2 linked regions of the Ovis aries genome follow. The protein of the gene in region 2 purifies or fractionates together with the protein of the main gene of each other region. This does not show direct contact. Links are inferred from orthologs where the notes say so. Each region holds a gene or a part of one and is shown on either strand. Other genes may lie near its edges.

Region 1 (3,500 bases), on a different chromosome or scaffold from region 2:
TTTATTCCACTTCGCAGAATATCTAGATGGTAATCCAGCAATAGACCAGTCTTACCACAGAATGCAAAATAAACATAACCTTCATTATGAGTAACAAAACAAAAAATTATCCACTTTGTAAATTTTAGTATGAGTACTACAATCAAGTACTTTTTAGATTTCCTTTTATTATTTAATCCATAAACTTAATTAGGATATATAAGAAATATTACATTTAAAATAGTTCTTTAAAATATATTTTCACTGGTAACAATTTTGTACATTTTTACAAAATAAAATCTATAAACATTCCTTCATATACACATTAGCAAACAGCAAGTAGTAGAAATTATTATTTTTATATATAAACATGTTTTAAAGATATTTACAAAAGAAGATAACCATTTTTCTATCCAAAGATAAAGATTTCCAATATCCCTCTTATTCAACAGATATTCTTCTCATTTTTTCAGCTAATTCTTTTCTTACTTCAATATGTTTTTCTAAATTTTGCACTTCATGTGGAAGATTGACGTCCCAAACAGACAAGCAAGATTGTATCTCTAGAAAATTAAAAAACAAATCATGTTACAAAGATCTGCCATGAAACATTTTTATCTTTTGTTAATTTATATTTAGCTGTTGGACCAACGTGTATGTGTGTATATATATGTGTGGGGGTATGTGTGTGTGTGTGTGTGTGGTCAGCCGTTCCTGACTCTTTGTGGCCCCATGAACTATAGCCCTCCAGGCTCCTCTGTCCATGGAATTTTCCAGGCAAGAATACTGGAGCAAGTTGCCATGCCCTACTCAAGGGCATCTTGCCGACCCAGAGATTGAACCTGGATCTCTTAATTCTCCTGCACTGGCATCTCAGTTCTTTACCACTAGTGCCACTTGGGACTACATACACACACAGACACACACACACACACACACACACACACTATATACATATTCATATAAAAGTAACATTAAATTATTACCATTTATAAGAAATTATATTTGGAAAGTGTTTAAGATGCATTATAGAACTAACTACTAAATTTTAACAATGGACCTTTAGTAACATAAAGCTTCATTTTCTGAAAGAAAAAAAGCCTTTTCAAACACTTTTCAAAATCAGACTATGATTTGGATAATACGGAGTAGGTAAGATCTAAGGGAAAATACCCATGTTGGGTTTGAGCTAGTTCTCATTTAATAGTGGTTGCTAGCTCTACTTCACCTGAAAAATATATTACACTGCTAAATCACTAAAACTTAATTTTGAAGATTTATATCTAAATTATTTGAACTATAACAAAGCTATCAATTAAAAATGCCTAAAGTTGTATGCATATGTAATATTTACCTTAAATGTATAAAAACATAATATGTTATAATCATTCATGTCATTTCAGTCTGCTTGGAATACAGTATCCTATTAAACATTACCTTTTTGGTGTTGTGTACCTTCAGCACTTTTCCGGTTATACCCCAAAACCAGCATGACATTTTTAAGGCTTCCTTTATTAAAAAATAAAAGAGTTCTGTTAAAACAATATAATAAGTTGGACTTTAAAGAGTACAACAGTTCATATTTTAAGACATAAAAACCTTGGAAATTAACTTACAATTCCATTACTTAAGAGATCCCTCAACTGAGTTTGAACAAAAAATACTCTGCAAGGTGATGAACAAAAAATACTCTGCAAGGTGACCAGTATGTTTTTAAAGTTAGAAAATTTGATCTACCTTCTTGTTATGATTCTTATTGTGAGAATCTGAGAAAACAGCTTAAACTCGCTGCAAAATGGGCTCAATAGTTATATATTACTCCTCCAACAAAAGCTATATATGAAAGAGATAGTGTAAGTTCCTTTTACAGGAATGTATTAAAGAGAGACAAATGGAGTTTATGGTCTAGTGATGAGATTAGTTACTAAACAGTAACTAAGTTACGCAGAATGAAACAGCACACACAAAACTTTGAGGTAGGATGAAGCATGGTATTTAAGAGAGGCTGAACTTTCTTCTAGAGCAGAAAGAGCAAAGAAGAATACGGCAAAAGACAAGGGCAAGAGAGCTGAGTTGAAGCTAGATCAAACCATATATTGTATATTATGTTTAAATTATTTAAAAAATCAATTAAACCCATTGAAATTGCCCTATAATGTCAGTAATGAACAACCATTTGGATACCAAGTACATACAAATTAAAGGCTACAACAACCTTGGTGAGTAAGACTAGAGAGACAACCCCCCATCCGCCTACTACTTTGCTTGCATGGACAAGTGTCCTGGCAGTCGTCAATCATGAGGAGCCCGTAATTCTAACTTTCGTGCAACTCTGACACCTATTCATGGGAAATTTGTGAGACTGAAGAGAAACACTGGTCTCTCCTTAATACGTTACTGTAAAAGGAGTTTACTGTTGTCTTCATCCTGTTTCGACATTTTTATTATTCATTTGCTAATTACATCCGTTGATGTTGTTTAGTAGCTAGATCATGTCCAACTCTTTTGTGACCCCATGGATTGTAGCCCACCAGGCTCCTCTGTCCATGGGATCTCCCAAACAACAACTGGAGCAGGTTGCCATGGTCTCCTCCAGGGAATCTTCCTGACCCAGAGATCAAATTCACGTCTCCTGCATTACAGGTGGATTTTTTTTTTTTTTTTTTTTACTGTGGAGCCACCAGGGAAGCCCCAAAGTTACATAAACTCTAGTTTTATAGAACTTAATCCCACTTTTGTGATCAACTCTGTATAAATACTAAGTCTATTCCCTAAAGCAAATAACTAGTCAAAATAAGAGTTAAGTGTGAGCATCATGTGCTATCATGATTTCTTCATAGTTGAGTAGAAAAGTAGGAACAACAGAAAACATAAAGTAAATAAAACATAATGATTTTCCAATATTTGCATATAGATTATGAAGTATATATTGCTATAAGAATATACACTGGTAGCAATATATACTGTACAAAAATATAAATTTATTTACAGAAAGAAAAACTAAATGGTATTCCTTAACAAGGGTAGAAAGTTTAAACTAAGATCAAAATAGTCATCTGCTTAAATTTCTTTGTCAAAAAGTTAAAAATGCTTAACATATATTTTTTGCCTTGATTATAAAGAAAAGAGAGAAAGTAAGACCTAAATTTAGTGTTCACTTGCAATACCTGCTTCTCTTATGGGACTAAAAACATCTACTCACTTCATGCTTTTAAGGCCCCTACTCAAAATTTCTGAGACACTTCATACAATGTTTGGAAGTGAAGAAAAAACATATTCTTACAGTCTTAAGAGAATATGATAAAAGATTTAAAGGAAGTAAACTTGCCTAACTGTGCAATCATCATGACTCTAACAGAATCACAAAAGTTGTGAATTATACGTATAATTCGACGAGTTGAAAGATCAAGGAGTAAGATATGGCCTCCTCCAGTTCCTATCCAGAGAGCAGTGTTCTTCTGGAGGCAGAGAGTCTTCACTCTCCCAGAATAAGACATTTTGTGTTTCAATTCCTTGCTTAC
Region 2 (4,192 bases):
TGCCCCCAATAAAACTTAACTCACAACTCTCAAGTTGCACTTTTTTTTTTTCTTCCACAGTCACAAATGATCAGACACGACTGAGCGAACACTGCATGCGTAAGGCCTTCCAAACATCAAGGTCTCCGGACACGCCTTTGGAGGCAGGGGGCCTATACCGCGGCGTGTGACGTATGCACACACCTGTCGGCGCGTGGGTACGTGCAACAGCTGCATACGTGTGCATGTCTGTAGACACACGTATACACACGTGAGCGTGTCAGTGAGCCTGTGAAACCAACACGCGTGCCCCTGTTCTTCTAGGAGACACCCCCGCCACCCAAGTCGCAGTGCCCGGCTTGACAGGGACACCCCGAGTCTGAGCCCCCGTGGGTCCTGGAAATGCAGCGGGCCCTCCTCCATCCCGGGACCCCCAAATGCACCCAGAGTCATCAGGGTCAGAGCTGGGGGTGCTGGGTCCTCCGGAGGCGCTCTCCTGGGCGGACCCGGGTCTCCCGGGCTGCGCACAGGCAAACCCTACTCCGAAGCCGGGCCGGCCGGGGTTCGGGGCCGTCTCGTACGCTGGGTCAGAACGCACAGACTGCATCGCTCGTCCCGCGGGGCGAGCAGGGGCCTGGAGGGCGCCGGGGGTCATCAGGACCTTTCGGGGCGGCTGGGTGGGGGGGTGGGGGTCGCGGGCGGGACTCGGGGGTCTGCGGCGCGGAGCCGGGGCCCCAATGATCGGACCGGCCAGAGTGGACGAGCCTGGGGACCCGAGCGTCCGGTGCTACGATTGGGAGAAGAGAGGGCGCGGGCCTTCGCAAAGCCCGGCCTGTCCCCTACGCCAGTGTCGTTCGTCGCCGCCGCCAGGCCAAGCATGACCTTGAAAAGGTCAGAGTGGCCGCCACGCAACCCAGCGCGACCCGCCCCGGGCACGCTCGGCGCAGAGGCGGGGCGCGGTTCCCGACATGCCCCGCGGCGAGACGCGCGGGCCAGGGGCGGGGCCTGGGTGGTGGCGCAGCCAATAGGCGCGGCGCACGGGGGCCCCCGGGGCGGGGCGAGGCGCAGCTCCCGGCAGCCCGCGGGAGGCGCGGCGCGCGCCCAGGGGGCGGGGCCGGGGCGGCGGCGCAGCCAATGGGCAAGGCCGTATGGACCCACGGGGCGGGACGAGGCGCCGCTCCCGGCAGGCCGCGCGGGGGCGGTGCGCGCGCCCAGGGGGCGGGGCCCGGGCGGCGGCGCAGCCAATGGGCGCGGCGCGCGGGGGCCGCGGGGCGGGGCGCGGGCCCCTTAGCGGCTGCGCGGTGGCCGCCCTGTCCTTTCGGTCCCGGCGGCGGCAGCGCTGAGCCAGCGGCGCTCACCTTCCGGCTCTCTCTCTGCTTCTCTGCGCCTCCGCTCCGCTCTCCGCCCGCCGCCATGACGGAACAGGCCATCTCCTTCGCCAAGGATTTCCTGGCCGGGGGCATCGCCGCCGCCATCTCCAAGACGGCCGTGGCCCCGATCGAGCGCGTCAAGCTGCTGCTGCAGGTGCGTGTCAGGCTGCTGGCGCGCGGCCGCCGGCGCCGGGCCCCGGGGAGCTCGGGCGCGCGCGCGGCCCCGGGACCGGAAGCGGGGAGGTCGCGCCGCTTTGTCCGCGCGCGGCCGGCCGGGCTGGCTTCCGGGGGGTCGCGTCACGTGGGCACCGCCGCGAGGGAGCGCATGCGCGGGGGGCGCCCGGCGGCGATGTCCGCATTGGGGCGCGGGGCGCCGCATGCGCGTCGGGCGGCCGGCGGCGGCGCCCTCCGCGCCTGCGCACTGGGGGGCTGCAGAGTTGGAGTGCGCATGCGCGGGGGGAGAGCCGCGTGGACGGACCCTGCGAGGCTGTGGGTGGGGTCCCGTCCCCTTGGGCCGTGGACGGGGAAAGATCTTTAGTCTCCGCAGTTGTACTGGTCTTCTTGCCCACTGTTCGCACTTGTTTGCGCGGGTATGAGGTGGAATAAACTGCGCTGGTCTGTTTGGAGCGTCACAAATGGGGAGCCAGTGGAATTAGCGTTGCGATGGGATTGCCACCCTTAAAGAAAATAGGATTCCCCAGGAAGGATGCTAGGAGAGCTTAAAGGCCCCGTGTAAATGTCTTATTAACGACACGTCGGTCGTTGGTGACCTCTGCAGGTGTCAACCGCAAATTGGCGCTTGTGGGCACCTGCTGTTTACCTCTGAAAGCGGTAGTAGTGTCAGTCGTGTCCGACTCTTGCGACCCCATGGACTGTAGCCCTGCCAGGCTGCTCTGTCCATGGGATTCTCCAGGGAAGCATACTGGAATGGGTTGCCATGCCCTCCTTCAGCGGATTTTCCTGACTCAGGGGTGAAACCCGGGTCTCCTGCATTGCAGGGTGATTCTTGACCGTCTGAGCCGTCTCTATGAGTATTGAGTCAGGTGCTGCTGACCTTCAGACCCCGTGAAAGGACCTCAGGGTGGAGAGCAGGAATGAGGCATGCGGGTTCTGGGAAAAAGTGACAGGCCAGGTCATGAGACAGATGTTTCCAGTGGCTGATTGTGAGCCCACTTCTTGCTTGCCCACCTCATGTTTCAGTTCAGTCGCTCAGATGTGTCCGATCATTGCCGACCCCATGGGCTGCAGCACGCCAGGCTTCCCTGTTCATCGTTTAGAAAAGCACTAAAAACTTTTACTGTGACGAGTGCTCCTTGAGGCTCTGAGAAAGGCTCTGCGAGAGTGTGTGCTCGCTCTAGGAACTTCCCATTGACCAGAATCTCATCCAGTCTCACCTCTGGCTCAATCTCTCAGCTATCTGAGCTGCTCTCCCCCGGGGGGTGTAGTCCTCGCCTTGCCCCAGATCGTAACTCGCCACTCTCGGGTCGTGTATTTTTTATAAGTGGCCATGGAGGTCTGCCCTAGGCCCTGGGTGAAGCCCTGTTCCCCCTCACTCCTGCCCCAGGGTGCAGCACGCCAAGCTTCCCTGTCTGTCGTGTGTGAAAAAGCATTAAAAACCTTCACGGTGACGAATGCACCTTGAGACTGTAAGAAACGCTCCGCGAAAATATGTCCTAGCTCGTATGAACTTCTGTTGACCAGAATCCCACCCATACCGACCTTTCCCTCACCTCTTGGAGCAGTCACTCAGAGCTGTCTGAGCTTCACCAGAATCTCCTCTAAGTCTCGGCGGTGTGCCCAGGCCCCCGGTAGAGCCCTGTGTCTCCCTCCGCCGCCCCCCAGGTGCAGCACGCGAGCAAGCAGATCGCGGCCGACAAGCAGTACAAGGGCATCGTGGACTGCATTGTGCGTATCCCCAAGGAGCAGGGCGTGCTGTCCTTCTGGCGGGGCAACCTGGCCAACGTCATCCGCTACTTCCCCACGCAAGCCCTCAACTTCGCTTTCAAGGACAAGTACAAGCAGATCTTCCTGGGGGGCGTGGACAAGCACACGCAGTTCTGGAGGTACTTCGCAGGCAACCTGGCCTCGGGCGGCGCGGCCGGGGCCACCTCCCTGTGCTTCGTCTACCCGCTGGATTTCGCCCGAACCCGCCTGGCGGCCGACGTGGGCAAGTCGGGCAGTGAGCGCGAGTTCAGGGGCCTGGGAGACTGTCTGGTGAAGATCACCAAGTCCGACGGCATCCGCGGGCTGTACCAGGGCTTCAACGTGTCGGTGCAGGGTATCATCATCTACCGCGCCGCCTACTTCGGCATCTACGACACCGCCAAGGGTGAGCTCCCTGCCGGAGGCGACGGTGGGGGCGGCACCGGGAGGGCCCGGGCCTTCTGCTCCCTGGGGCAGGGGCTTGTCCTGGGGGGAGGGCGGAGGCACCTCAGCTGCTGATAGCTGAGGGCTCCCAGCCCCAGCAGCTGGAGGCTGAGACCCAGGGGTGGGCGGGGCTCTCTCCTGGGCGAGTGGACTCCCTGAGTCCTCATGAGCTCCTCCCTCTGGGTGTGTCTGTCTGGCCCCAGAGCCGCCTGGTGACCTCATTTCACCTTCATTCTCTCTTGAAAGTGAAAGTGAAGTCATTCAGTCGTGTCCGACTCTTTGTGACCCCATGGACTGTAGCCTATCAGGCTCCTCCATCCATGGGATTTTCCAGGCAAGAGTGCTGGAGTGCATTGCCGTTTCCTTCTCCAGGGGATCTTCTCGACCCAGGAAAAGAACCCGGGTCTCCCGCATTGCAGGCAGATCCTTTAGCATCTGAGCCACCACCCTCATTTCCAAAGACAGCTTCCTTTTAG

Evidence for each region.
Region 1: the proteins of SLC25A6 (region 2) and LRRK2 purify together in Homo sapiens (co-immunoprecipitation; 3 studies listed by IntAct, with this or other methods). This does not show direct contact. The link is inferred for Ovis aries from reciprocal best matches to the Homo sapiens genes SLC25A6 and LRRK2.

What each region holds. Positions count from the first base shown.
Region 1 is NC_056056.1:146,809,488-146,812,987, forward strand, and holds part of LRRK2 (leucine-rich repeat serine/threonine-protein kinase 2), read right to left. Parts: coding exon 3,308-3,500; intron 1,489-3,307; coding exon 1,417-1,488; intron 543-1,416; coding exon 421-542; 3' UTR 1-420. UniProt on the Homo sapiens protein: Serine/threonine-protein kinase which phosphorylates a broad range of proteins involved in multiple processes such as neuronal plasticity, innate immunity, autophagy, and vesicle trafficking.
Region 2 is NC_056080.1:6,639,203-6,643,394, forward strand, and holds the start of SLC25A6 (ADP/ATP translocase 3), read left to right. Parts: upstream 1-1,392; coding exon 1,393-1,503; intron 1,504-3,191; coding exon 3,192-3,678; intron 3,679-4,192. UniProt on the Homo sapiens protein: ADP:ATP antiporter that mediates import of ADP into the mitochondrial matrix for ATP synthesis, and export of ATP out to fuel the cell.